2 linked regions of the Caenorhabditis elegans genome follow. The protein of the gene in region 2 purifies or fractionates together with the protein of the main gene of each other region. This does not show direct contact. Each region holds a gene or a part of one and is shown on either strand. Other genes may lie near its edges. The genes, in order: epg-2 and sepa-1.

Region 1 (15,467 bases), about 11 Mb from region 2:
GGACATCCGTCATTGCTCCAGCGTCCGGAACTCGTTCTCGCTCGATCAGCACGAAACGTTCAATGTCGCGTGAGCCAGCTGCAGCAGCTCCACGAGCACCATCTGTGCCACGTCCACCTCACAATTCTGTCACTCGCACCATCTCCGCGCCAATTGCAAATACCGGACCAGGTGTCATTACTCGTGCGATGGCTGCTCGTGTCGCTGAAAATGTCACCAAAACAAGTGTTCGTCGAAGTGTTATGCCTCTCAAAGTGGCTCAGAAAACGCCGGTTGCCGCAGTAAAATCGGATGCTGCTACTGCAGGAGGTGACAGATCCCGTGACCGTACACGCCGTACCAATACAACGGCTTCTCGTCGAAGTGTTTTCCCCAATAAGCCTGCTGCTGCTGCAGCAAACACCACTCCAATTGCTCCACCGCGGCGTTCGGCATCGGCGAACAAGGCAACAGCGCCGACGTCGGTGAGCAAATTGACGCCGAAGATTCGTCCGATTGCAACAGCCAATCGCTCATCGATTCTTCGAATGAATGTTGTGAAGCCAACTGTTCCGGCTCCGGCTCCTGCTGATGCTCAACAGAATAAAGCGGCTTCACGTCCTGCTGTTCCAGCTGGTGGAGCAGCTCGTAACCGGCAGCCGCTTCGAGTCAACCCGGGAACTCCGAGCACAACGATCAAGAAACCACCAGTGGTAATTTAAAAAATTTGCCTAATTGTTTAATAAATCGAATTTCCAGGCTTCATCCGTACAACGCCAGCCGCCGACTCGAGCTCGGTCAGTGGACCGTTCTGGCCAACCTCCAATTTCGGCTTCCACTCCAGGGGTACATTTGTGCAACGTTTTTTTTTCTATATATATATTTTTTGAATTTACAGAAAGCCTCCCGTGCTGACCTTTTCAACAGACTTGCCACACCAAAGGTTACTGCTACGCCAACGAGGACTTCACACGAGGGCCCAGCGTCGAGTATCCGAAAATCTGCTGTGCGCCCTGTGCCATCATATGTGTACAGCTCCTACAAAGGGTATGAGAAGAAACGATGGATTTATTGAACTCAAAATTCTTCAAAAAAGGAAAAATTGATTATTTAAACAGAAAAAATTGTAATAACAAATTGAGAACAATTTAGGCGGGCATGAAAGACAAAAACAATTTGCAATGTACAGTAAAGTGTGCAATTTAGAAACAAAAACGAACAAGAAATTAATCAAAATTGTTATTCTTCGTCGACCATCTCCCATTCAGCCTTCTCTTCCGATTCCGTTGATGCTTTCGGCTCCTCGTCGAGTTCTTCAACTCCCAAATTATCCACCAACTTCTTATGAGCATCATTCAACTGAACAATCTCTGCATCGTGAATTCTCTTCGTTTCGATTGCAAGTTCTGTGTGCTCGCGAATGGTTTCCTGGAGTTTGTCAATTGTGGTACGATCCGAGATTCCTTGAGATGTCAGAACGCGACAATGATTGCCAAGAACATTGTATTGCTGTTTCATTGATACCATTGCAGCTTGGAATTCGTTAATCTCGGCATTTTTCTCATCTGTTTCCTTCTTAAACTGGGCTTGAGTAACCTCATTGATCTTTTTTAGCTGCTCGATTTCAATAGTGGCGTAATGGAGACGTTGTTGGATTCCGGATTTCGCATCTTCCAAGAGTGCTACTTCAAGTTTGTGATGTTCAGTCAAATTTCCAATTTCTTTCTGAGCATTAGCTCGAGACACTCTGAGTGCAATACATTCTTCAGAAACGAGAGTCATTTTGCTTTCTAAAGCCAAATGTGCGGTTCTGAGATCATCTTCGGAGCTCAAAAGCAAACTGCACTGGTCTCTCAAGCTTTGATGAGCAGCATTGGATTGCTCTAGTTCGTTTCGTACCGTCAAAATCTCATTGGCGTGCTTCTTCTTCCCAGATTCCAGAGCCATTTGTCCTTTGATCAACTCCTGATTAATTGCCAACATATGATTGTACTTCATATTATCAATTTGCTTGGCGTACTGTTGATGCACAGCAACCATTTTTGCATCCATCTCACTCTGCATCTGGCCTTTTTCGATGTCCCGCTCCTGAATTGTTGTGCTCAATTGTTCGCGGAGACATTCACATGTGCGATTGACATCTTCTTTCTCCTCCTTCAAAATTTTGAAGTCCTCCTTCAGATCGTAATTCTCCATTCTGAGCTCCATCAGTTCGGTTTCAGACTCACGGAGCAACTCAATCGTGTCACTGTGCTCGCTGGAAAACGCAGCAGCTTTATCACTGCCAAGTTTGAGTTGTTCTTCAAGATGAGCAATGACTGCTTCATCCTGTTCGTGTTCGTCCTTTCTGAACTGTAAGCATTCACCGAGTCTTGCAATTTCATCTTCCAACTTATCGCGAAGATCTTTGTTGAAACTGGTCACCGCTTCTGTAACTTCAGCTTTTTCCTTCATTGCCAAACGAGTAGAGCCAAGTTCCAGGCGAACATCGGACAACTCGTTGAGCAAAGCTCTAATTCGGTCAGTCAATTGCAATCGTTCAGAGTCAAAGTAGTCATTTTGACTCTTCAACTTTGTAATTTCAACTTCAAATTCATTCTGCTTGACCTTCCAGTTTTCCTTCATTTGATGGATCTGCTTCAAGGTGTCTTCTCTTCCATACATCAGATCATTCAATGCAGATGTGAACTCCTTTGTCTGCAATTCCAGTTGAAGCGAAATCTCGTCTTTCCGCTCAACAATATCTTTCATGGCAATATCTTTTTCACAAACTTCACGTTCCAGCGTCTCAATGCGGCTCTCGTGCTCTTCGTTTTCCGTTTGGGTTTTCTCGAGCTCCTCGTTACAGTTATCCAATGCAAACTGGGCACATTGCCGAATCGATTCCAACTCGTGACAATCTTTTTGAAGTTTTGTATTCTCATCTGAGATCCGCGTAAGAGCTTCTTGAAATTTTTTCGAGTCGCTCAACCAGATCTTTCTGAGCTCCTCTTTCATCTCTTTCAATTCCAAGTTTTCGGCCACAAGATCTCGGTTCAAAATTTTGAGATTGTTTTCTTCGGAGGTCGTTTCTTGAGCGGACGATGCTTTTTCTTCGGCTTCGTCAAGCATGATCTCCAATAATGTGGAGTAGGTCTTGGCTTCCACGTTTTCCTGAAAAATAATAGGTTTATAGCTTGAAAAATTGCAATTTACTAATTAATTAAGTTCCATTAATTCTATTATTAGTTATATTAAGTTAATTAATTTCATTAATTGAATTGATTTTCTCAATTCTCTAAATAGTGAATTGAATAAGTTGCTCACCTTTCTGAGAAGCACAACTTCGTCCTTCAACAACTGGTGTTCTTCTTTTTCCTCAGCCAGCATTTTGTCCAAGTTTTGAAGTGAGTCTTCAGCCAATTCGATCTAAAATATAAACACTTGTTCATGGCACATTCAACTATTTTCAAAACTCCAGAATTCATTGAAAACACGTGGTGTCAGAGTGTCTCATTTCGGCTTGATCTACATAAATCTACAAAAAAATGCGGGAGAAGAGACACAGAGTTCTCAACTGATTTCGCATGGTTAAGAACATATTTTTGTGCAAAAAATTCCCGCGTTTTTTGTAGATCAAACCGTGATGAGACAGACTCTGGCACCACGTGTGAAAATGGATTTTTTGTGTCTCAACAGAATCTAGAACAGCTCAAATACTTACCGGCTCTTGATCCTCTGCTGACGATGAAAAAACTGTGACAGTTCTGTTGGCACTCATTCTTTTGAAAGCTGTTGAAATTGAGATCTGCAAAAAATATCGATTATTGAGAGATGTGTTACACACACAAAAATTAATAGTGAGACGAATGACAAGGTCACCATAAAAAATATTCGAAGAAGGAGAAAGAAAGCTTGCGAGGCTGTGAGAGGAAAACGGCGATCAGGTAGAATATATAATTCAGTTGTTAGGCATTGTGTGGTAGTAGCTAATGACTGAGAATTGAATGAAGAACCCGAGAAGAGAGGAATGAATAATATGAAAGAGAGTGAAAAAGAGAGAGAGAGAGAGAGACGAGAGATATGGGTGGTCTCGGGGAGTGAAAGAGGGAGAAATGGCAACGGTTTGGATAGCTCGACGAGAGCAAAAGAGACAGCCTCTGCATAATGCTCTGCGCTCTCTTGCTCTCTGCATATTGGCAGCGTCTAGCCACCGAGAGATGGGCCACGGTAAAAAGCGAGAGAGAGAGAATGGTCCGACTGATGTAATGTACAGGCCAAGGTTACAATGTGGATAGTTGTGGAGGACTGCGCGTTTGGTTAGATGCGCCACTAGGGCGGGGCTGCTCTGTGTTTGCTCTCTGGAAATAGCGTTGTGTGAGCAGAAGAGGGAGATTTGGGAAAGTCGGGGTCACGTTAAGGGTCAGAAGATGATGTTAAGATTGGGGAAGGGGTGAACAGGTGAAGTGGAAATAGTATTGAATGACTTTTTGGTGGTCTTTGATGTCGAGAAAACAATGGATATATATGACAATCTGGAAGATTTAGAGCATTACATTACAGAAATTCAAATTTTAAAGGTGGTGTAGTCGAATTTTTTTATTGTCTTATTAGACTCGATATTCTCTCAAAACACCGAGTTTCACAATGAAACTTCTTGAAAACTTTTCAGAAAAAAGTTATGACGGCTCTAAAAATGGCCTAAAATTAGTTAAAATCGGAAATTTGACCGACTTGTCAATGTCGCAGTGGCTGGAAATAATTTTTTTTGATATTACCGCCAAATTTTGAGTATACAAGTCGATTACCTCGCGTTTTAAACGAGTATTTAAAAATCGATGGACGGCGAGTTTTGGTTAAAAAAATTAAAAATCAAAGATTTTTTAATACCTTAATCAAGTTTAAAACGTAAGATAATTAACTTGTATACTCAAAATTTGGCGGTGATTTCAAAAAAAAATTGTTTCCAGCTGCTGCGACATTGATAAGTTGGTCAAATTTCCGATTTTAACTAATTTTAGGCCATTTTTTGAGCCGTCATAACTTTTTTCTGAAAAGTTTTCAAGAAGTTTCATTATGAAATTCGGTGTTTTCAGACAATTATGAGCCTGATAAAGCAATAAAAAAAATTCGACTACACCACCCTTAAAAGTGGGAAGTTAGGAAAAGTTATAGGATTTCGAGCTAATAAGGAATGTAATCAGTAGTTTTGTAGGGCAAAATTAGGTGCCTACAAGGCAGGCATAATATGCCTCGAAGATGCCTATCGATAGGCGATGAAACATTTATCTGACTACATGAAAACCTAGAATTGTAAAATTATTTTTGTTGTCTTAAAATGATAAAAATATAGTCTAAAATGACTGGCTGGAGTAGATAAGATTCTTCGATTTTTTTCATAGAAAGTTTTTTAAAAATCTATAGAGATGTAATGATAAAATTCAATTTTTCATCAAGTTTTGTTACTAATGACGGAAGAAAAATATCAGAAAACAACATCTTTTCTAAAAAAAAATGGCTAAAACTTGAGCCATTTTTGCAAAAAATGCTATTTTTCTGAAAATCGAAAACGAAAACACAATTCCGACAAATTTCCGGTTCGCCGATTTCCCGAAAATTTTCGTTTTCGGCAAGTTGTCGATATGACGGCAATGTGCCGATTTTCCAGAAATTTTCATTCCGGCAATTTTTCGATTGGCATTCGATTGGCACCTAGTAGGCATTTTGTGCCTACATGAAAACCTAGAGTTGTGAAAAGATTTTTTCGACAAACCGGCAAATTGCCTAATTTGACGACAAACCAATTGCCACCCACCCCTGATCTGGTACAAAAAATAATTTCGAATAAAAAGCATACATTTTTGAACTTTTAAGATTGGCAATGCTAATTGTAAAAAATTTGGAAAAAAAATACCAAAATATTCTAAACAATTCTTTTTTCAAATTTACTAATTACTAATTAAAAATTTTCCAGAATGCCATCTGCCGGAGGTCTTCACGGAATTCGTGCTCCATCAAAGGATCGTTCGACTCAGAAGCCACCAGCAGCAGCTTCTACTCCACAATCGAAGCAGTAAACGAATGTACATATGATCGTTGTCGTATTCCAATGGGACCAGCTTCATCTTCACCGCGAAAATTAATTTTAAAAAAAATATTTATGATGATTCTCATTGATTTTTTTGTCTCATCCCACCCCCTTATACCGTATTTTTTCTCTTCTTCATATCCATAGTTTTTGTTGAGCTATCTTTTCCCGTTCACCTTTTCGCGCGCGCGCACTGATCTACTAGTGTTCATTATTTCTGACTAATTCTGTATAATAGACCGGCCCCCACACACACATGTTTACAAAAAAAACCGGAAGCCCACACACACACACACAGATTTATTCTTATTATTATTATACCTTTTCTTTATCATTCAATCCAGTGAAATTCACATCCTTATTGTTGTGTCTCCTCCACCCGCCCGCCCGCCCGCCCGCCCGCAATGAACATTTCTTGTAGATTTCCCTCTTTTTGTCTGAATTTTGCGAAAGGTTTCTTCTGAGCCAAGTTTGTTATTTGAATTGAAATCATCGTTTATCTTGAAATTTTAGGGAAAAAAGAGAAAAAAAAAGCGAAAAGAAATTAGGAAAAATATTCGGCGGTGAGAATCAGAGGGGTTTTTGGAGGGGGACTACAAATTTTTGAATTTTTTAAAATTCACAAAACAAAAAAATAAGAAGGAAATGAAATTTTTTGATTGGGGGGGGGAATAAAAGGGGGAAATTGTACAATTGTACATGTTTTTGAAACAATAAAAAACTAATTTGCGATCAGTACGACTATAGAAGTTGGTACACACCAGAGGTGGGCGGATATTTTTTTCGGATATTTTCTAATAATGAATTTATCAATAAGTATTGATGTAGTTATTGTGGAAGAAATGTATCCGAACAAAAGAGTAACTATTAAGCAACATTTTAATATGATAAAACCTAGAAAAATTCTACAAATTTTCTGTATAAACGATATGCAAGTCCATTATCCGATATCCGTAAAATCCGATGTTGCTCGGCTAATAAGTTTTAAGGTCTCGGTAAGGAAAACTTGTTGAATTTTTCTAGGTTTTATCATATTAAAATGTTGCTTAATAGTTACTCTTTGGTTTGGATACATTTCTTCCAGAATAACTACATCAATACTTATTGATAAATTCATTATTAGAAAATATCCGAAAAAATATCCGCCCACCTCTGGTACACACATTTGTAATTACATTCAATTTGTGCATTTATTTACATTTTATCAGTTATTCTGCTGCTGCTCTGCTTCTTCCTCCTCCTCTCCAACCAGCTCCCACGAGTTCTCGGCGGTTGTCTCGTCTTTCAGTTTTGGCATATCACGGTACTCTTCATCTTCTTCAGAATCAGAAGAATCCGATGAGCAGTCCGAATCACTCGAGGAGTCACTGGAACAATCCGAATCATCGGATGATTCCAACACCTCGACGCCCAGATTCTTCTTGAGCTCCTCGTTGACTTCCTTCAGTTGATCTACCTGATCGTTCCAGCGTAGACGATCGAACTCTTGAGCCTCGGATTGTTCTTTGGCATCTTCGGTGAGCCGGGCGATCGAACGACGTGCCTCGGCGAGAAGATTTTTGTTGATAGATGAGGTCTGGAAGAGAGAAGAAAATTAGAGATTTTGAAGCAATCGTTGCGGTTTGATCTACAAAAAATGCGGGAATTTTTCTCCCAGTAAAATGTGACGTCATCAAACACTTAGCCACACGCTCTCCTCAAGGCCGAATAATTATTAGAGCGCGCTTGCTGCGCTTGGCGTTTCTGCATCCGTGGCATTTTGACTTTCCACTGAAAAAAGCAGATATTTCAGATTTATCGAATTTTTAGCTTTTAAAATTTTTTTTTCTGCATTTTACGAACAAACCTTTTGTTAAACAGTGAAAATCGAATTTAAAATGATACTTTTGAACTTTTTTCGTCCACTGGTTGTGAAATGGTTTGAATTTGAAGAAATCAACGGGATTTTTCTTATTTTCTAAATATATTTCTATTAAAAATCGGTTTTAAACCATTTTTTGACCCTAATGTTAAGTCACAAATGTATTAAAACCGATTTTTAATAGAAAAATATTTAGAAAATAAGAAAAATCCCGTTGATTTCTTCAAATTCAAACCATTTCACAACCAGTGGACGAAAAAAGTTCATTTTAGTCATTTTAAATTCGATTTTAACTGTTTAACAAAAGGTTTGTTCGAAAAATGCAGAAAAAAATTTTTAAAGATAAAAATTCGATAAATCTGAAATATCTGCTTTTTTCAGTGGAAAGTCAAAATACCGCGGATGCAGAAATGCGAAGCGCGCTCTAATAATTATTCGGCTTTAACGAGAGCGTGAGCCATGCGAAATCAGTTGAAAAGTCTGCGTCTCTTCTCCCGCATTTCTCGAAGATCAAACCACGCTGTCAGAGTGTCCCATTTCGGTTTGATCTACGTAGATCTACAAAAAATGCGGGAGTTGAGACGCAGACTTCTCAACTGACACATGGTTAAGAACGTGCTGACGTCACTTTTTTTTGGGAAACAATTCCCACATTTTTTGTAGATCAATCCGTAATGGGACAGCTTGGCACCACGTGTGTGTGTGTTCAAAAAGCAAAAAAAAAAGCACTTACCATTGTCAAATTTTTGAGCTTCTCCTCAAGATCTCTAACCGTTGAGTGTCGTTCTTCGAGGATTTGCTCCCGCTCCATCGCCATGAGCGCTTTCACATTTGTCATTTCCATGTTCGAGAACTCGACTGTCTTCCGCAAGTTGTCTGCCTCCAGCATCTTCTGATGCGCCTTCTTCTCCAATTCGTCGTTGGTTTTGACGAGATCTCCGAACTTTGTGAACAGTATCTCGGCCTTTCCTTTGTACAAATCAACATCTTTTCTGAGCCTGTCACGATCCATTTGAAGGCTTGATACACTGTTCTGGTACAGTTCGCACTCGCTTCTGTACTGGGCAAGCACGTTCTCGACCTTCTCCTCGAGACCTTCGTTTTGCTCCTCAAGATCTGTGATCTTCTGTTTCAATTCGATTCGGACGGAAGTTTCATTCTTCCATGCATTCACATCCTTCTTCAAGTCACTGAGCCACTCGACTTTTTCCATACGTTGAAGCTCACAGAGACTATTAAGCTTTAAAATCTCATCTTTCTTGGCAGCAAGCTCTTCACGGCGTTGCTCGGAGAGCCGTCTAATCGACGCGGTAAGCCAGGTATTCTTTCTCTGCATGGTTCTCAACTTTTTTCCTTCAGTCTTCCGTTTGCCGATCAACTCGTAGATCTCCTCTTCCAGCTCAGCACACTCGACATCCCACTCCTTCACTGCGTTCGCCTGGACTGATTTGGTATCACTCAATTGGACATTGAGATCATCAATCTCGGCCAGGAGTCGAGTAATCTGTCGTTGCGCCGCTGCTTGTTGCGTTGCCAACAGGCCCTCGAGCTCGTCGATTTTGCGGCGACATTCACGAGATTCCTCGTCGAAAATCTCCCGCTTGTCCATCGTTTCCTTGGTTGATTGGAACAACATTTTCTGCAATCCACCAATTTCATCACGAAGTTTGACACATTCAGCATTCCATTTCTCCTCGACGCGCTCCATGGCATGACAGAACTTGGCCTTCTCATTCGAGAATGTCATCGTTTGCTGGGCGTGTTTCTCGGTGATTTCGCCGATCTGTTGCTTGTAGGCGTCACGGAGCTCCTCCAGCTCTGTCATCTCCTTATTGAGGTTGGCAATTTGGTTCTCGAAGTTGGCACAGTCTAAGAGAAAGCTCTGTTGCTCGGCGATCAAGAAGCCCTTGTGGAAGTTGAGCTCTTCTTCCATCTTGCACTTCTCGACTCCTCTTCTTTCGAGATCAACGCGGAGAGCCGAATTGGCGTCTTCAATTTCCTCAATAGCTTCAAGAGCATCTTTGAGTTTTCTGTTCAATTCCTGAATCTTCATCTCATTCTCCTGGAACATTTTCTGGTCGGCACGAATTCCACTTGGTTTCGATGAAGATTTGAGTCGTTCAAAGTCGGCGGTGATGTTCTCAAGACGTTCGTTCCACATCTTCTCAGAGTTCTTCGTATGGTTCAAGATATCCTCCTTCTGAGCCTCTAGCTTAACATTCTCTCTTCTGAGCTGAGTTTCAGCCTCTTTGAAGTGCTCGGTCAACTTGGCCTTCTCAGTTTCCCACTTACGACACTGATCGTTCAGCTCGTCAAGCATCAACTTCATGTTGTCGGTATAACTGTTTGAGGCGTAGTCGGCCGGCTTATTGTAGAGGCTCTCCATTTTCTCAATTTCCTCGTGCAACTCATCGACGTCCTTCACCAACTGATTCCGTTCGCGAAGCATCTTCCCGAGCTGATCACGAGTTGTAGCCAACGTCGCCATCAATTCCTTATTCGTAGATTCCATGACTCGAATCTCGTTCTCAGCACTGGCGAGCTTCTTCTCGAGCTCCTCAACTCCCGGATGCGTCTCATTGCGAACTCGTTCTAGCTCGTGCTCACAGTCAGTGCGAAGAGCCAACGTCAGTCGAAGACTCTTATTCTCATCCTGAAGCTCGGTCACTCGACGCTCAAGTGAGCTGCTAGTCTGCTGATAGGTGGGAAGTTCCTGCTGCTGAGACATTTTGGAGATCTGCGGATAGGATGATGCTCTTCAACTGCCAAGGAGACGGGGCAGTGTAAAGAGTGTGAAGCGTTGAGTTTTCTACCTGAAATAGGGGAAGTTCGTAAATGATGGAAGCTTGGGAAAAAGGAAAAAAGGAAAAAAGAAAAAAAAAGTTGAGAAGAAAAGAGAAATAGGCAAGTAAGGGGCAAGAAGAAGCATAAGAGTCACGTGCGTACGCACACGAATACGCAGACACCCAAATAGAAATCGATAGAGAAGTGTGGCGGGGGTCCACGGAAGGTGTCCTGGTCTCTTTCCGTCTCTTTATTCTCTCTATTCTCTCGCTACACCCTTCGAACGTTCTCTGCTGTGCACACTATAGATTGGAGAACACTCGTCGGAAAATACTATAGATTTCTATCGTCCGGGGGACCGAGATGGAATCTGTAGAATTGTTGGAAAAGTGAGCAGGAAACCGGGAAGAGATAACAATTGAACGGGAAATTGGAAATTGGAAAACTGTAATAGTTTGGGAAACAACTACAGTTTGGCCGAAGTCTGAGGGCTTTTGAAGTACGATTATTCAACTTTTTGATAATCCAACTACTTCAATGAATAGTTTTTTTTTCCAACGTTTGCCGAAAGGTTTTCCTGTTGTGGAGCTGTCTGGGTGGAATCCAATTGCCGGAATTGAAAATTTCCGGTAAATAGGCAAAATGCCGGAGCCCCCATAGAGTTTTCGTTACTCGAAAAATCGGCAAAAATTGCTGAAGAATGGCCAAGATTTTCTCAGGGGTAAGCGGCAAATCGCCGGAATTGAAAAGTTCCGGCAAATTGGCAAAATGCCAGAATTGAAAAATTCCGACAAATCGACAAACCGGCAAAATGCCGGAATTACAATTTCTGGCAAATCGGCACATTGCCGGAATTGAAAAATTCCGACAAATCGGCAAACCGGCAAATTGCCGGAATTGAAATTTCTGGCAAAAAATCGGCAGATTGGAGGAATTGAAATTTCCGGCAAATTGTCGGAATAGAAATTTCTGTCAAATCGGCAATTTGCCAAAAATGACAAATTCCGGCAAATTGGCAAATTGCCGGAATAGAAATTTCTGGCAAATCGGCAGTTTGCCGAAAATGACAAATTCCGGCAAATCGGCAAATTGCCGGAATAGAAATTTCTGGCAAATCGGCAATTTGCCAAAAATGACAAATTCCGGCAAATTGGCAAGCTTCCAGAATTGACAAATTGAAAATTTCAGACAAAAATCGGCAAATTGACGGAATTGAAAAATTCCGACAATGATTTGTCGGAATCGGAGCAAACCGACAAATTGCCGGAATCGGAATTTCTGGCAAAAAATCGGCAATTTACCGAAAATGAAAAATTCCGAATCAGCTAACCGACAATTTGCCGGAATTGAAATTTCTGGCAAATCGACAATTTGCCGAAAATGACAAATTCCGGCAAATCGGAAAATTGCCGGAATTGAAATTTCCGGCAAAATATCGGCAAATTGTCAGAACTGAAAAATTCCGGCAAACCGGCAAATTGCCAAATTTGCCGGAAAATATCCTTGCCAAGCGGCAATCTCTATTGGCTGATGTAATCAAATTCCATAGGCGTTGCATCTCATCTTTTCACGTGAACAGCACATGTCAAATGTGAAAAACCGGCAAAAATTGAACTGATAAACGAAGACAATGAATGGAAAATTATACATACGATATGTTATAATGTGCATTTAATCTTATCTATCAAAAAGTTCAAGTACTCTTTTTGTTGGAATAAATTGGAAAATTCAAATTTTTCTAATTTCAATTTCATTTTGAAATGAAAGAAAAAAACTTGGTTTCTTATGTGACGAGAGATCACACTGAACAAAAAAACCAGCTTCCAAAACAACATCATCACGAGAAAACAGAGAAAAATGCGAAACAACAAGCAAAAGCTTGGGTGCCGCGTCTGCGTCTCTTTTGTATTTTTGTCGTGTTGTGTGCTTGGGGGGTCTGCTGACTTGTCTCGTCTCTCCATGAACGTCCAATGGAGCGCGGTTGCTAAGGGGTGGTAGACGCATTTTTTCGAAAGTGTGTACTTTGAACCCATTCTTTGCAAGTAGTCGTTCCTATTCATTGCACAGTGAAAGTTGGCTCATAACGCTCAGAATCGCGAAGTTTTCGATTATTTGAAGTATGTTTGCTGTAGATTCAACAAATTTTGGACCTTTGGCAGGTTTTTGAGCAAAAATCGGCAATTCTGGGAAAGAGGCAAACGTTTTTCCGGCAAGTCGGCAAATTTCCGTAATTGAAAATTTCCGGCAAACCGGCAAACTGCCGAATTTGAAATTTCCGGCACGTCGGCAAATTGCCGGATTTGAAATTTCAGGAAAGTCGGCATTTTGCTGGAATTGAATATTTCCGGCAAATTGTCGAATTTGAAATTTCCGGCAAGCCGGCAATTTGCCGAAAATTAAAATTTCTGCCAAATCGGCAAATTGCCGGAATGGAAAATTTCCGGCAAACCGGTAAACGGCAATTGCCAAAAATTTTCGGCAAAGTGTGGTTTTGCACATTCCCTTCTAGAAATTTCAATTTTGATCGGCAAATTTCCGGCAATTTCCCAAATTGCCGGAATGAAAAATTTCCGGCAATTGCAAAACTTGCCGAAAAGACGGCAATTACCAAAAATCAACGGCAAATTGTGTTTCCGTCTTATGAAAAAATCCCACTAAAATGTTCCGGAAAATCGGCAATTTGCCGAAACAGAAAATTTCCGGCAAACCGGCAATTGGACGAATTTTGCCGAGAATGAAAAGTGAAAATTTCCGGCACATGCAGAATTTGCCGGAAAAAACGGTGGTTGCCAAAAATTTTCAGCAAATGGTGTTTCCGTCTTATAAAAAAATCCCTCTAAAAGTTTCCGGCAAATCGGCAAATTGCCAGAATAGAAAATTTCCGGCAAGTTACCGAATTTGCCGAAAAAAACTTGTCAAAAATGGGCCGTTTCTGAGGAGTTTTCCCAAAAAAAAAACTGTAAAATTTCGGTTTTTAATCGAATTTTCACCTTTTTCTACTGAAAATTACACTGAATCTTGATAAAACTGCATGGCAAAAATTCCACAGAGTTTTATTAAATTTCAGTGTAATTTTTAGTCAAAAAAGGTGAAAATCCGATTAAAAACCGATTGTTTTAGAGGATAATTTTTAGTCAGGTGAAAAAAGAATTTTTAGTCAGGTGAAAAAAAGAATTTTTAGTCAGGTTTTAAAAGGTGAAAATTCGATTAAAAACTGATTTTTCTAGGAAATTTCCTAAAAAATAGGCTAGAAGCTGCACATTTTTGCCGTAACTTGACATTTTTTCAGTTATTTCCTAAAAAAAAGTCGAAAATTGACGGAAAACTTGAATTTTTATGTTTTTTCGCTATTTTTGTTCAAAAATCTCCAAAAACATGTGATTTTTTTCCAATTTTTCAAATTTCAGCCCAAAATGAGTAGACGTTACGATACAATAAAGCATCTTGGAGAAGGACAATTCGCCAACGTTTATCTCGCACAAGACCTCGAATCGGGCGAATGTGTGGCTATTAAAAAAGTATTTATACATTTTTCCGCTGAAAAAATGAAAAAAAAACCGCGTAAATTTGTAGATCAAACTAGGATCGAGAGAAGAAGCAAAAGATGGAATCAATCGAACGGCGATTCGAGAGATTAAACTTTTGAAGGAAATTCATCATGACAATATTATCGGGGTTTGGAAATTTTTGGATTCAAATTTGAAATTTTCAGGCCTAGAAGCCCAAATTAAAAAAAAAATCTGTGAAAATTAACTGAGAAAACCGATTTTTTGGCAAATTTTCCAACAAAAGTGAAAATTTAGTGAAGAATATTACACATACGCGAAACATTGTGATTTTTACTCTAAAAATACGTGTTTTTACTGGAAATTGGGAAATTTTGAATTTAAATTTGAAAATTTCAGAAAAAGATGGCCAAAAGATGGCGAAATCTTAAAATTCCTTAAAAATCTGTAAAAAAATAACTGAGAAAACCGATTTTTTGGCAAATTTTCCATGCACTTTTATTGTTAATTGCAAAAATATTACACATACCCGAAAAATTGTGATTTTTGCTCCAAAATTACGGTACCAGGTCTCGACACGACAATTTTTTTGTTAAATGCGAAAAGGTGTGTGCCTTTAAAGTTAGAGTACTGTATCTTCAAACTTTTGTGGAAATTTTCACTGAAAACAGGAAAATTTTGAGTTAAAATTTGAAATTTTCAGACCAAATTTTTTAAAAATCTGTAAAAATTAGCCGAGAAAAAACGGATTTTTTTTTGTCAAATTTTCCATCAATTGTTAGCTGTAAAATATCATTACACATACGCGAAATTTTGTGATTTTTGTTCCAACCTGGTCTCGACACGACAATTTTTTGTTAAATTCGAAAATTCGTGCGCCTTTAAAGAGTACTGTAGCTTCAAACTTTCGTTTCTGCTGGATTTTCATCGGATTTTTACATAGTTTTTTCGATAAAAATTGTATTTATTTATTTAGAAGAAAAATAATTTTTTTAAAAATAAATAAATATATTTTTATCGAAAAAACTATGTAAAAATCCGATAAAAATCCAGCAGAAACGAAAGTTTGAAGCTACAGTACTCTTTAAAGGCGCACACCTTTTTCAATTTGGGTAACAAACAGTTGTTGTGTCGAGACCAGGTACCGTAATTTTGGAGCAAAAATCACAAATTTTCGCTTATGTGTAAAAGCGGATTTAATATTTGAAGTTTTTGAAGAAATTTTTTTTTGAAACAAAAATTCGATTTTTGGTATTAAAAATCCCAAATT
Region 2 (15,425 bases):
CTATCCTCAGTGACTTCAAATTTAGATGTACCTTGGTAAAAGTCGAAGTTTCCGGTATGGTCATTGTAAATGTACTTGATGTAGTTTCCATTACAACTGTTGATCACACATACAACCTCTTTCTGACTAGCTTGGCAGATCCTAACTTTGAAAGTTGGTAGAGAATCTAGGTAGTTGAGATCGTCCACGTCGAGATCATCCTCATCATCTTCATCCTCATCGTCCTCTTCGGAATCATAATCAGATTCTACAGCAGAATCTGGGTTTTCCGGGTTTCCAGTCACATCTATACCCTTCTCTATCTCCTGCATCATAAGAGTACGTACAACAACCGGTGGAATCGCTTGGAATGGTCCAAGATGTGAGGATTGCTTTCTGATTCCACCTCTAAGATCTCTCTCAATCACAATATTCTCATTCTTTAATCCCTTAATAACCACGACCAGGTTACCATGAGTGACGAGGCTCGGGTTGTACACGAGTTCCGGAAAGCTGACCTCCACGAACCCGCCAGTCGAGTGAGAATAGGCGTACTGCTCGATCTTGTTCGTGATCCCATTGTGCACAAAAATGACGAGCGTCGAGGTCTTATTACAGACCACCGAGTACTTAGGATAAAGATCCGCTTCGGTGACTCTCGCTTGACACTGAAGACACTTGTGTGGGACCAGCTTGGGTGACGCCGGATGCTTGTTGAACATGTAGTATTGACCAAATCGTTGAACACCGATTGTTCGCGTTCTTGTCACGGGACAATTTCCCATTGCAAACTTGGGCAATGGTCTTGGGCACATGATGGGCCTGACGCCTGGAGCTGGTTGAGCTGGGTATTGAGGGTACATGGCTTGTTGGAGATGTTTCTGGAAAATGAAGTGTGAAGTTTCAGAATTAGATGAGGGAAAAAAGGAAAATGATTGTAGGAATGCTTTTTTAAGGGATTTTTGATTTTTTCAACCACTCACAGTGGACATGAGGGCAAGAAATTTGCAGGAAAATTGAAGGAATGTTAATTGTGAAATTCAAGAAACTCTACATTTTTTGAACGATTTCAGACGTTTTGAACTTCCCAAAAGACATACGTTTTGTAACGTTTTGTGAAAAATTCCGGGCTTTTTAAAGTATCGGCATGATATTTGTCCGTTTTGTGGCAATTTTGAGACATTTCATGGACCTGGAGGGACCAGCAAATCGACAACCCTTTTTGCTCACTTTTCAATTTCCGATAATAGTGTACATAAAGAGACTCTGAATGTTTGAAATTCACGGAATTTCCCAAGAGTTGGCAGAAAAAATTACAGCAAAATTTGAGGATAGTGAATTAAACATGATTATGAAGGATGGAACAAAGTGAGCAAAAAGTATTGTCAATGTACGATGTACTGTTTTTCAGAGGGTTTTCTGCCCTAAAAGTTATTTTCTTTGCATTTTGATAGGAGTTTTGAGTTCAAAAAGGTTTGATAGACAATTAAAAACGACTTCTTTTTTGAAAAATCACAAAAAAAATCATAAATTACCAAGACGGTAACTGGCAACAAACATGAAACAAAATCAGAAAAGAGCAACCTCTTCGTGTGCTGGTACAATGAATGAATGAATGAATGAATAAGAAATGTGTACTGTCGATCTGACAGAGCAACTACGACAATTGGGCGGAGTTTAGGTGTACGCATCTGTTTGTCAATTGACATTCCGATCGATTGTTGACCATTACAGTGGTATATCGATCTGAAACTAGGGTACTTTGGTCAAAAAATGGATCTTGCTGCTGTTTCATGAGGTTTTTTTCCAATTATTTTGGATTTATTGACAAGGAAAGAATGGAATAGAAAATGTTAAATTTCACATCAACTTTGAAAGCTTATATCTCAGTTATCGTTTGCCTTATTCAAAAATTGTCAACTAACAAAATATTTATTAGCTCTTTTTCTATAATTTTGTAACTAATAATATATTGATATCTTTAAAATGAACCGAGATATAACGTTTCAAAGTTAAGTAGTCGGGTGCAATACTAATAGAGGAAATACGGTATTTGAAACCTTAAAGACTGCTTCATAGGCTTGAAAATATTAACGGATTTGCATATAAAATAATGGTCTTACAAATTTCCGTAATAAAGAAGGGAAAAACTATTTTAAAATGCAGTATTTGTGCTCAAACTTCCAATTAACTATAGGCATTGTAGGTATAACATAATAATTTTTCCGTGCTCATTCAGTTGCTAGTTACCATTCCCCGTGTTTTTTCTGTCGACTCCTGGAAGGTTCTATGATTAACAAACATTTTGACCCTCCTTGAATCGTCTTTTGTGTAGCTGAAGTCGAGTAGAAGTTGCTTCTGCCGGTTTTTTTCTGAAACTCAAGAACAAGACGCTAAAAAGTTATGTTGTTTCTGCACTAAAACAATACGCATAAAACTTGTCTCATCTCAATTTTTTGAACAAAGCAAATGAAATATCAAACATAGAAGAAAATTTTTCATCGAATTCTCACAGGTTTAATTTAATAATGTTATCACTTGGAGCACATCACATCAAAGTCCCCATAAGAGGCAGTCCTCCTACACAAGGACTGTCCTGAGAAGGTTTCTAGGTTTGTTTTTTTCTAGGTTTGTTTTTTTCTATAATCCTTCGTTTGGTCAGAGATGTTTCTTTACAGATTTATAGCATACACAAACACTGTCTCTCCCAGTCGATCTACAACAAAACACGGATAGCCTGTACGAGAGATGCACGACGCAGACGGGCAGACGGTGGTCGTAAATGTTCGCGGGCCTTGCTCAAAAGGTCATTATGCAGTAGACTGTCGGTCTCTTCTTCCTGTTCTCTCATTTTCATTTTCTTTATTTTATCCAATTCTTTTTTTTCGAATTGTAAGTTTATGAATTTTCCCTTTTCTCCTCTATAAGAGCCATTTTTATTAAATTATTCCAATTTGTAGTTTTCACTTCAAAAATGGTTCTGCAATTAATCTTTTTTTTTTCAAAAGTAATCCTGCGCCTTTAGACTGTTTCGGTACTCCATTCCGCTAGGCTAATAAATTGACCTAATTTTTAGGTGCCAAAAAATGTCAAAAGAACACTCGTAAAACTTTGATCTACTGATTTTTAATCCGTTGGCTGATGTGGGAACGGGGTAGTCAAATCTATGTGACCTTGCGCGCGCAACTTATCATTCTGAAAATTATGCTAGTTCTAGAAGTTCCTCGAAAGCGTTTTTCTAGAATATTTAAGTTTAATTTTTTTCACTTTTTTAAGAACTTACTGTTTCAAGAAAAAATACTTGAAAGTTTCGTTTTAAACTGTTAGAGAACGGATCTTTAAAGTCGGTTGAAATTGGAATTCCTGCGCAAGTTCTTAATTTTCTGGACGAGAAATATATAAAAAACTGTTCAAAACTAAAACAATTGTCGCCTGGGAATCTGAAATTCTGCTAATCTTGAGCTGGGTTTTCACTTACTTACTGTCCTCTAGTGCACCCAACAAACTTTACTTTGAAATAATATATAAATTTTTCTTTTCATTGCCAGTTCTGACGTTCTTTTTCTTTTTTTTTTGAAATCCTTATAATTCCAAAATTCCAGATCATCATCTCTACTTGTCATGTCATTCATTGCATATCCATGTGCTGTTCCAACTCAGCGCCAAGTTCCAATGTCTCCTCCAACAACTCCACGGATCCTCATGAAACTCTGCCCGATCATGGAGATTCCCATCATTGGTGGACCCCGTCAAAATGGAACCTACAATGTGTTCATCTTCGACCTAAAAATCAGGAAGTTCATTCCACACAGATGCTCCAGTTGTGCAGTGAAGATCCTCGAAGATCACCTGTCACCGATGTATGCCTCGGGAAGTGTGATTTTTATGAGAAATGAGGTTACGCAAGAGGTGGAGCAGTATGTCTACTCGTTCGAGACTGGTGGCTTCCAGCAGGTCGACTATCCGGAGTTGGTTTACTCGGCTGAAAAATTCACGGAATCAAGTTTTATTGTGATGATTGAGAACTCTGATGGAAAGAAAGTTCTGATCGAGCGTGGAGGAAACGAAGCAGTTCGGAAGTTGGAGTACAGACTTGGGAAGTGCGTGGAAATGCCAAAAGTTGAGGTTCAACTCTTGGCCGCCGAAGAATTTGATGACGCGGATCCATGGTCTGACAACGACTCCCTCAGTTCTGAACATCTTGACTACAATGAAACACTTCCAGCATTTAAAACCACATTCTGCCAAGACTTTCAGATGTACGTTCTCTACATTATCACCAGCCGTGGTCATTATGAAAAGTACATATACAATCAGAGCACCAGTCAATTCGAGATCCTCGACTGTGAGAAGTGTCCGGATACAACCAGAGAAGTGGATCTTCTCCCCAAGTATGCAGAGTTTTGCGAAGAGATTCAGGCTTATGTGATTCACGTCTTCAACTCCTTCACAGATCGCATGGAGCAATATGTCTTCGACTCGAAGATTCAGGGATTTGTTGAAGTGAATCAGCCAGAGCTGAAGTATGACTCATCGAAGGATCAGGATCCGACTTCGAGCATCTTCTTCGTTCTCAAAGGGACAACAGTGATCATGAGGGGTGCACAAGGAAGACTGAAGAAGGAGGTATATTGCTCGATCAAAAAACATTTCGTGGAGGTTCCCAATTCGGTGATCAAGAGTTTTGATACTCAGTTTATGGAGAAGAAGCAGAAGATGGACAAGAAGAAGAAGGCCAAAAAGATCAAGAAGTCCAAGAAGAAGGCATCCAAAGAATCTCAAGAGTTGGATGTCTTGGTCGAGAAGATCCGTCTTTGTGATGATCCGTTTTCTGATGGCCCATCTTGCTCAACTTCTCCAGATATTCCGGAGGATGCCCCAGGTAACCCTTAACACTTAATCCATACTATTATTCATTTTTCTAAAAATATACTCATTTCAGACGATGGCATGTCAATTCTCAAACAAAAATTCGTGGAAAGCCTGACAACTCTCTACGGCGGATCGTTGCCACCATATGTTCAGAAGGAATTGGAACAGATTTGAGGATTTGGATTAAAATTAGTTTTTTTTGTTAAATTGCATATTTTTTTATTTTATTTTGTCTTGCGGTCTCATTTTTCTTCCCGATGTTCCATAAATAAAAGACAACTGTAAATTTGTGTGCCTTTAGAAACGGCGGGAAAAAAATCATTGCTGAAAATCTTGCTTGACGTCATAGTCTTTTAGAATGGGATTGCCAGGTTCTCTTTGAGGCAAATTAAAATGGGGCACGTTTCCAAAAGAAATCCGGCAAATGGATGTAATTTTCTCTGATTCTATGAATCTTCTGTCCACATTTGTAGTCCAATTCAAGGGTGGGCGGCAATTGCCGTTCGGCAAATTTTTTTGTCGACAAACTCGGCAAAGCGGCAAGATGCCGATTTGCCGGAAGTTTTGAATTCCGGCAATTTGCCGGTTTACCGATTTGCCGGAAGTTTTCAATTCCGGAGGTTTGCCGGTTTGCCAATTGCCGGAAGTGTTTAGAGGGGCTTTTTATATGACAGAAGCACTTAAAACTGTGCCTTTTTGAAATTTTATTCCGTTTTCTTTAGATATATTCATAGAGTTTGCTTATTTTTAAAAATAGATGTAGGAACATTCATAGGATGCGTAAAAGTCTGCTGAGTGAAATCGAAATTCTGAAATTTCCAAAAAAAATGTGCAAAACCACAATTTGCCCGTTTTTCTGGCAAATTTGGCAAAGCGTCAATTTGCCGGTTTGCTGATTTGCCGGAACTTTTCAATTCCGGCAATTTGCCGATTTGCCGGAAATTTTCATTTCCGCCAATTTGCAAATTCCGGCAAAAAATCATTTGCCGTCCACCCCTGGTCGAATTACTCTCAGGTGGATCGCGTCCTTGCTCAGTGTCTGGGAATTTAAGCTGACCTTGCTTTGTCTTAATAATGGGAGTATAGGAGAAATTTATGAAGAAATGTGAGAAGTACATGTAGCCAAGATATGGGCGGTGCCATATTCAGTTCATGCTCCGCCCATATCTTGGATACTTTTCTGTTCAGATTGCCGATAATTCTTTCTATTAGATCAGCAGCCGTAACATGTTGAGATTTACCATATCTGTAAAATCAGTTCCCAGAAATTTTGTTAAAAACCATCAATATACTACATTCGTTTGTAGATCTTCTCCTGGTAGTCGTCTCAATCTTACATCAGTCGATAAAAACATCTGCCAATTCCCACCTCTTTCCCGAATCTGGTATCCCAAGAGCTGAGTATCGATTTAAATTGGTTGCAGCGTTTGCTCCAGATGCTCTGAGTTGTCTTGAAGAGCAGAAGACATCATTCAGTCTGCCTGCATCGCCTCTAGTAGGTCGTTTTTCTTTTCTCTAGTCAGTCTCTAGAGCTCCTGTTTCCATTTTTTTGTTCTCGGCTATGAACTACAGTATTTGTTTCCTTTTTGCCTTTTTCAAATATGATGTATTCTTGAAATTGATATGTCCGTAGTTCCCTTTTCTAAAAGTGTATCTTGTAGTTACTTGTGGTTTTACCAAAAATTGGACAAAAAATATCAGTTGTACTTTGATGGTTTTATTCAAAACTTGATTTTAACACAAAGGAGGACTAAAGACGCTATTTATGCCCCTGATACCAAATATCGATGTGAAAAAAATATAAAAAATTTCCGTGATTTTATATTAATTTATTAAAATCCCAAAATCCTATTTAACGCCGAAATTTTCGTCAGAAAAGGCATCGCCCATAAAAACCGTACCGCACTTGTGGATTTACGAGATTCATATTTTCGATTCATTTTATTTAATTTTCAGCCCTAGCAGTAGCCTTACCTAAATTCTAGCCCACAAAATTTGTGCATCTTCCCGCCTAGTATTATACAACAATCTGTATTGATTGCTTATTCCCAGGTGTTCTGTACGCGGAGTTGGCGGGAGCATTTACCAATCGATAAACTTTACTTGATACGTTTATATGTCCTGTTGCACTCGTCGTTTTGTATTAACTCCTACAACACTTTTTGCTCACTACTTTTTCATTTTTGATTTTTTGCAGTGGTTCTTATACTTCTAAATTTCCTTTAAACTCCTATTTTTAATCGCGCCTGGTAATTTCACTTATCACTTTTTTATTGCATTTGTATACGTTTTCAATTATTCTTAATCTAACTACACCTTAATTCCAGAAAAATCTCCAAGATGACACCTCTTTCTGCTCTTACCTCCAATCCAGCGCCTTCACCTCCACCGAAGTTTGCACTCGGAAAGTGCCCTGCCACTGCTATCCACGTGGTCAGTGTTCTTCGCCCAAACAGACAACGCTTTTGCTATGAGAAAACGGATGCTGGTGATTTGATCCCTCACAAATGCCTCATATGCCAACCAATTCTCACCGAGAAGCACATTTCTCCGTACTACGCTGTCTACAGTGACCTACTCGAAGATTTCGTGCTCTTCGGGTATAATACAATGACCGGGAAGATGGAGCAGTTTATCTACGCTTTCAAGACGGATTGCTTTGTTGAAGTGAATCGTCCCGAGATTAAGTACAATCCGGCGTTTCTTGTTAAAGGAAACGTTGTGGTTGCTCTAAATGGTCCTGAAGGCGAGCTGGTCGTGATTGAAAGAGATTGCCGTGGTCTTCTCAGTAAGGAATCTACAAGTTATGGACAGTTCCGAACTCTTCCAACAGCTGCTTTAAGGACTCTGACGCTTCAAGATCTGGAACGTGATAGGTGGGATAGAGCCGCGAATTCTGATGAAGTCAAGATTTCATCAGGTAATGAGAGCTTTGATAGACTCTACGCAGAGTATCAGAAGAATCTCCCACGATTCCAAGTTCGTCAATGTCTGCATTTGAACAAAGAATTTCTATGCGTCTATTCAAAGACTAGCGGGGATTACACAAGACTCGAGTACATTGACGAAACAGGCGACTTCCAGAAGATTTCCTGCACTCTTTGCACATGTGAAGTCACCGAATCGAACCTTATTCCATTGTATGTGGAGCGTAATGCATCCGAATTGGTGATTCATGTTCATAACACCGAGAATAATCAAATCGAGCAGTACATCTATGATGTCCGTACATTTGGATTCGTTCAAGTTAAACGCAATCTAGTTTATGATCCGAAAAAGATCACCAGTGGGCTGAACTTGTTTATGGCGGAAAATATAGACAATCGCAAGGTGTATATGATCATGAGAGGTCGTGATGGAAGACTTCAGAAAGAAACATCTGGAAGTGGAGGCTTCGAGAAGATGCAGCCAGTTGCGGTGAAAACATTCCAAGTTCAATGGGTTGAGATGAAAACTGAATTCGAAAAGAAGAAGGCTAGCACGGAGCGAGTCGAGCCACAACATCCAGTTCAGACGGAGGGCGAAGATATAATGGAAACCGTGTTAGCGATGGTTGAATCTTTTAATTGTGACTTGAGAAAGGAACTTGGATTGACACAGGATCAAGAGATTCCCAGAAAGGCGCCTAGAGTGGAATCAGCTGAGACGGAAGAGAATATAGTGAAGAATCTCGAGAAGCTCCAAATTGCGAAGGATCCCGAAGAGCCGACTACAGCTGCTTCTGAAGGTGGAAATACATATGGGTATCAGGAATTGGACGATACGATGTCTGAGGGCTTATTGGAAAAAGAAGCAGAATCGAAGCATCAGGACGCCAACGAACCAGAGCCTGTGAAGAATGTCACCTATGAGCCGGATGTTGCAGCAATGGACAAGAAGAAAAAGCGGAGAGAGCTCAAGAGTCGGCTGAACAAAATTAATGCTCAAATTGACGAGTTGGAGAAACGAAGAATGGAAAGAGCCGGAAAGAAACAAGTCGTCTCAAGCTCAGTGCCTTCGGAAGAAGCTGCTCAAGTTGAAGGTATGTATGCTTTTCAAAAACTTTATTTCTGTAGCTATTACCCGTATTTCTTTTGGAAATAGGTTAAGGGGTACTGTAGGCTTACTGTGAAAGTACAAAAATCACCTAAACCTTTGAAAATTTTCAGCACCTGCTTCACCTGCTCTGGCCGAGAACACTAATCAAATCTCAAACGAAGAAACACCTAAAATTGATATATTTGAAGGGTACAATGGTTCTTTCTTGTTCGGGACAAACACATCAAAGGAATGGATCGTTGAAGACATCCGAAATCACATGGTTGGAAAATTGTTGAAAGCGTTCTGGCCAAGAATCCAGAATGTAGAAGAGATGAATGGTGAACTGTTTAAAAAGTTGATCGCCAATGCCAGAAAATGTGAAACGGAGATTTTGGAAGCATCGAATGACCGAGATGAATACTATCGTTTGATGCAATTAACAGTTGACCAGATTCTCAAGAAAACTTTAAAAAAAGACCAACGAGCCACTGAACATAACCGTAAGTTGCTATTAATTTTTTAATATGATAATTTGCTTTTAATAATTTTAAAAAAATTTGAAATAATTGAAGGCTAGCCTAAACTGACAAAAATGTCTCAACTCCTGTTATTCCCATTTTAAGAATTTTAAGATTAATGCTTCAAATATCGATATTTATTTTCAGACCAACAACCAACACAAAGCTCCGATGAACTTGCCAAAAATCACGAGAAAAACTAAATCAGTTCACATTCATTTTCTTTTATATCTCTTGCTTTTGCTTATATCCTGTAATGAATGCGTGCTTTATCCCAAATAAATATTAAATTGATAAGTATTTTTCTTTTAATTGCACCCGAATTTGGCGTTGGGCGAATCATTTTCGGAACAATGAAACCTTGAAGAAACATGTAACTAAAAAATCGTAATTCCAGTTGTAAATTTGCAAAACTAACTTTTTCGTTTTTCATCTTTTAAAAAAAAACTTTCATGTTCGTTTTTTAAATAATCCCAGCCCTGATCGGAATCACCTTCACAATAATAATCCTTTTAAAATATTGCCCGACCGGATTCCCCGGAAGAGCTATTCCAAAAATTGTTCACAATCGACACTCTCTTTCGAAAGATCGAAACTCCGAATTACCTTGGTAACTGGGTTAAAACCAAATTTGATAGAAAATGACGAGAAGGCCACTTAACGCGTGTACCGACAAAATGTGGGCGCGCGTACGGGACTATAAAACTGACACTGCGTGCGTCTGCTTCTATACAACCTTTGCAGCGGGTGAGATTGGCGCCCGGTTAGCTCAGTCGGTAGAGCACCAGACTCTTAATCTGGTTGTCGCGGGTTCGAGCCCCGCATTGGGCTTACGTTTTTGTTTTTTATTTCAGACTTTTTTATTTATGTCATGTCAGCATTTTAAGTCAGCATTTCGCCCTCTCACACTTATGAAATCAAAAACTGCAACCAAAAAAAAAACAATTTCTGAAAATGCAACGTTTATTATCATAATTTTCATGAAATCAAAATTAAATTCTTGAATCAGTCGATGTGTATGCGATTTTTAAATAAAACAGAAAAAAACAAGAAAGCGAGAGAAAGAGGGACGAGAATTCTTGGGACTAATCATGTGGGTAATGAAGAAAAAAAGACGAAATTGGGGCATTTTAAGGCTGAAAATAGCTAATTTCCAGTCTGAACATACCCAAAAGGAGGCTACACACGATATTTTAGAGCAATTGGAGCAAAATAAGAAGGTAATTCTAAAAAAATCTTAGGATTCTTTTTTTTTGAGATGATAGAATGGATTACATGTACTAGAAGAGTGGGGAGAAAGAAAACGTTAGACATGAAGAGCAAATAACTATAGAAACTTGGAAATTTCAAGATATTTAGAGATATTTGATTGAAATGGAGAAATAAGAGGAATAATAAATTATTAGTGATGAATAATTGGAATAGAAAATTTGATTTTTTTTGTTGGGTTTGTTGGTGAAGGTTAAAGATTTTTCAGAAAAAAAAAGAAAAAAAAAAAATAAACGAAATGATTAACAAAGGTGTGTGTAACAATCACAGTCGAGAGTCCGAGAAAAAACAAAAAAAGAAAGAGAAAATGGATCAGAAATTAAGGAAAAAAGTGCAGAAAAAAGAAAAAAAACGACTAAATTGACTTCTAGAAGACGTATTCCTCATCCGACGAGTTTGTCATGTCGATGGCCCAACGGAATTTCTCACGGTGAGTTTTGGTGAAGACCTGGAAATAAAATCGATTTTAATGGGGATCTAGAGTGTCGGTTTTTCTGAATTTATCGAAAAATAAAATTTGAATTTTGACCATTTGTCTTCTTATTTTTCCTCATTTATATGATCTTTCGGGTTTTTTTTCCCGAAAAATTTAACATTTTTCTGTTTTTTGATAAAAAATTTCGGAAAAAAGTGTTTTAGTACTGTGTACTACAGGGAATTGTGCATATTTTAAGGAGCGCTTCTCCTCATTAATCTCGTGTACTCCTAGAGGAAAACAATGCTTCATTTTAGACAATTTTCGCCAATTATTTCTGCATTCCACATTCAAATCTCCATTTTTATCGAATTTATTCAATTTCAGGTGGAATTTGGCGTTTTTATGATTGATTTTCTCAGAGAAACGTCATAAAAATTGATAAACTGATGATTTGAATGTTGATCCACCAAAAATCATTGGTTTTCCTCGAGGAGTACACGAGCAGCGTAAATCGACAAATGGTACTGTTTGGACAGTATTTTTGACGAAAAAATCACAAAATACCGCATCTCTTCAAAAACACGACATTGTGTCGATTTACGGAGGTCATATACTCTACGAGGAGAGTGTGCATTCAGTTTTTGGATAAATTTTGCAGTTTTCAATGCCTAATTTATGTTCCAAAACGAAGTATTTTCGACAAAAACTGTGTAGCCACACTCTTCCTCGTGGAGTACACGAGCTGCGTAAATCGACACAGTTTGTCCATTTTCCCCCGTGAATTCATTTCTCCGAAACTATCTCTCACCTTCTCCAACGGAACCTCAAACTTCTTGCACCAGGCGACAGTGATCCGAGGATCAATATAATTGAGTTTCGAAGTACCCAACGCGATCTGTTTGTTCTCATCCTTATCAGTTCTTGAGATTTTCAACTTTTTCAACTGCTCCTTCAGTCTGTCGTACTTCTTCTGGGCCTTCTCCTTTTCTGCTCCGCGAGCAGACTTCAGCGCGGCTTCGGCTTCCTTCACCTCCTTCTTTTTGTCCTTGATCTGGAAAAAAAACGAGATTAGTGAATAAATTTCATATTTTTTTCGCAACCTTTTGCTCCAACTTTTGCATCGACTCATCGAATCCCTTCGAAACGGCACGTTGATGGTTACAAAGGATCGCAACCTGCCGATTAGCACGATTGTATGACAGAATTTTTGCCGCCACATTGTCCTTGGGATTCGTCAGCTTTATCAGTTGCTCTTGAAGTGTGATCGAAGCATTATAGGTACGGAACACTTTTACCGTCAAACCATCCATCAAACTTCTCAAATGATCATTGAGTGTTGCAGTGTCGAGACGATCGAAAAGATCATCACTCGGAGCTTTTCCCTCCATGAATATCTTCAAATTCTTGTAGACTCGCTTCTCAACAGAAACTCGATTGAAATAACGAATCGAATCCTTTCCAAGAAAATCGAATTCCACAACAAACTCCTTTTCCTTCTTATCATCTTCATTCAGTTTCGCCGAATCGAAGAGCTTAATGTGCTCAACACGAAGTGAGCAACAACCAACAGTATCAGCAGCTTCATCTACATCCTTCTCATTTCCAGCACGAAGAGCCAACTTATCAATAAAATACAAAGCCGTAGCACGTTGTCGAACTCTCATCTCCTTCGACTTAAAATCGTCAGTATACCGCTCACGAATTCCACCAATCTTCTTTTTAAGTCGCCGCGCTGTTTCGTACTTTTCAAAGTCCTTTTCTCCTTTAATCTTTGAAGATGGATTAAGCATAATGTACTTATTCTGTCCGAGCACACTTTCAGTCCAAGAGCACAGCCACGTAACAGTATTGTCATGTCTCACTTCTTTCCATTTGTGCCCAGGTGGTGGTTTTGGAATTTCAGTGTCTTTTCCGCAATTTATGATGACATCCTCTGGCATGATACGCTTCTTGATAAGACCCATCTTCGGATGTCCACCTCTTCCACGGAACACTCCTGGAGGTTCAATTCGGAAATTTGCAACCTTTTGCCGATGACCATCAATTATTGCAATTCCATAAATCTTCACTTCCGCTTCCTTCTCCTCTTTAATCTTCAACTTTTCCTCTTTAGTCATCGCTTTGCGAATTTCCCGTTGCTCTTTTTGATAAGCATCGATAGCTCGAAAATCGCACTTTTTCAGATCATGTATACGTTCACGTTCCTCGACAGTCATCACTTTTCTCCAATCTTTCATAAAATTCTTGTTGAAAGCCTCTTTTGTCGAATACTCGTGATCCAGTACACCAGCATAAAATTGAGCAATTTCTTCCGTTTCAAGAGTCAGCTTCATCTTCTCTCCACCATATTTGAAATGAACATGAGATGGAAGTGGAATGTATGGTGGAGCGAATAGTGGTCCACAGTGTTGAAGGGAATTCCATTTAACACCTGCAGGCTTCTTTTCCTCTTTCCACCATTCCCATATATCTTCTATATCCTCCTCTTTCTTCACTTTCTTCTTTGGTGGCTCTTTTTTGCCGCCGGCGTCTTTCTTTGATGTACTTGGCTTGCTCTTTTCAGCTCCTTTTGACTTTCGTTTCTGCAAAAATAAATGATAAAATTATGATTCGTGCAAATTTAATTATTTAAAGTATCTCGTAGAAGGTTAGAAAACAGTTTTTGATTTTTTTTTTGAGAAAATATATTACTGGTGGGTAATTCAGGTTAGACGGAAGTGGTTTTTTTTGGATTAACTTTTAATTTTTTCGATTACATTAAAATTTCCGGAGCAGCATGTAATGTCGATTTACGCAGGCATCGTGTTCAATTTTTTGAGCAAAAAATCGTAAAATTTCCGATTTTTAGCCTAAAAATGATTAAACACCCAATTTTTCAGAAGAATTTGGCATAAAGTCTAAATATCCGAGAACTTCAGCTAAAAAACTAAATAAATTTAAATTCACACTTTTCCTCGTGTAGTACACAATTTCTGCGTAAACCGACACCATTTTTAGCTTGCAAATTAGTTTTTTGTGCAAAAAAAAGCGGGAAAAAGCATGCAAAATCAGGAAAATCCACATCAACAACACCTTTTTCTTCGCCTTTTCATCATCTTCATCATCCGAATCCTCGTCGTCCTCTTCCTTAATCTTCCGATTCTCCTTCTCCAGTCGTTTCTTCTCTTTTCGCTCTTTTTTCTCCCTTTTTTCCTTTTTTCTACGCTCTTTCTCCTTTCTCTTCTGTTCCTCTTCATCATCTGTCGTCGGAGCTTCGTCTTCTTCTTCTAGTTCATCGTCGGAATGGATCTAAAAAAGCAGAAAAAAACTAACGAAACAAAGGAAATGTTAAGGACGTGCAGAAAAGTAGGGTTAGAAGGGTTATTTTTCGCTAAATTCCATCTAAAATATGCTTATTAACACATATTATTACTATCTAATTGAAAATCTTGTAGAAATGCTGGTTCTTGCTCACATCGGTTTCACAAGGAATATGTACATCCAAACAATTCAAAATTGCGAGAAAATACCTAAATTTCAGCAATTTTAATGTAAAAATAGCAGAATTTTACGTATTTCTTGCATTTTTCAACTGTTTTGAGTTCACATAATCTTATAAAGCGAATAATTCTCTCTGCAACAAAGAAAATGGGAACTAGCTAATTTTTTTTCGTGGAGCAACTTTAAAACCAAATTTTGTGTTGAAAAACATAATTTGGATGAAATTTAGCAAAAAAAAAGTGAATTTTCATCGCCAAAAACCCGTGCAAATAGGTTATTTTGGAGGAAAAAATGTTATTAATTGCTACAAACCTGTGGCTTAACATCCTCTTCACTAACATCTCCTTCTGATTCTTCATCATCATCCTCACTACTCTCCTGAGCTTTTTTCTTATTATTTTTCTTGCTTTTCTTCTTTTCAGGCTTATAATCATCCTCAGAATCACTTCCAACATCCTTCTTTTTCCCATTTTTCGCCGAAGACTTTCTCTTCTCGGGCTTATAATCATCCTCATCTGATCCACTTTCAGCTTTCCTCTTCTTTTGTTTCTTTTCTTTTTTATCTCTTTTCATCAGTTCACCGAATGGAACTTCACTGTCTGATGCCATTGGCTCATCTTTCACCTCTTTTTTGATTTCATCGTTTCCGTTCGTATCGTAGACTGTTGAGTTGCCGTTTCCGTTCGAGTGATGATTCGACACTACACTCATCGTTTGAGCAAGTTTCTGATGATCCACGAGAGCTCTTTTGATTGATAAGATATCTTCGTAGAAGCTGTCGAATCAAATAGATGGAGTGTGTGAGTGTCGGAGAGATGATACTCTGCAAACATTTAAATGAGGAATTTTGAAAGAAATTGTGAAAAGGA

The links.
Region 1: the proteins of sepa-1 (region 2) and epg-2 purify together in Caenorhabditis elegans (affinity purification with western blotting, with the first as the bait; one study listed by BioGRID). This does not show direct contact.

What each region holds. Positions count from the first base shown.
Region 1 is NC_003279.8:2,288,385-2,303,851, reverse strand, and holds epg-2 (Ectopic P granules protein 2), read right to left. Parts: upstream 3,767-15,467; 5' UTR 3,740-3,766; coding exon 3,683-3,739; intron 3,388-3,682; coding exon 3,286-3,387; intron 3,133-3,285; coding exon 1,219-3,132; 3' UTR 1,055-1,218; downstream 1-1,054. Other genes in the region: tpxl-1 (TPX2 domain-containing protein), read left to right, coding at 1-692, 739-825, 878-1,026, 5,933-6,035; Y39G10AR.11 (TPR_MLP1_2 domain-containing protein), read right to left, coding at 7,251-7,622, 8,641-10,635; cdk-7 (Cyclin-dependent kinase 7), read left to right, coding at 14,105-14,209, 14,265-14,366. UniProt on the Caenorhabditis elegans protein: Involved in autophagy. Thought to act as an adapter protein that brings PGL granules to autophagic structures containing lgg-1.
Region 2 is NC_003279.8:13,292,468-13,307,892, reverse strand, and holds sepa-1 (Protein sepa-1), read left to right. Parts: upstream 1-7,176; 5' UTR 7,177-7,191; coding exon 7,192-8,872; intron 8,873-8,999; coding exon 9,000-9,371; intron 9,372-9,536; coding exon 9,537-9,592; 3' UTR 9,593-9,689; downstream 9,690-15,425. Other genes in the region: sdz-30 (SKN-1 Dependent Zygotic transcript), read right to left, coding at 1-842; T04D3.1 (NTF2 domain-containing protein), read left to right, coding at 3,601-4,861, 4,922-5,025; top-1 (DNA topoisomerase 1), read right to left, coding at 11,026-11,106, 11,885-12,127, 12,177-13,658, 14,149-14,364, 14,869-15,267. UniProt on the Caenorhabditis elegans protein: Adapter protein that connects P-granules in somatic cells with the autophagic machinery.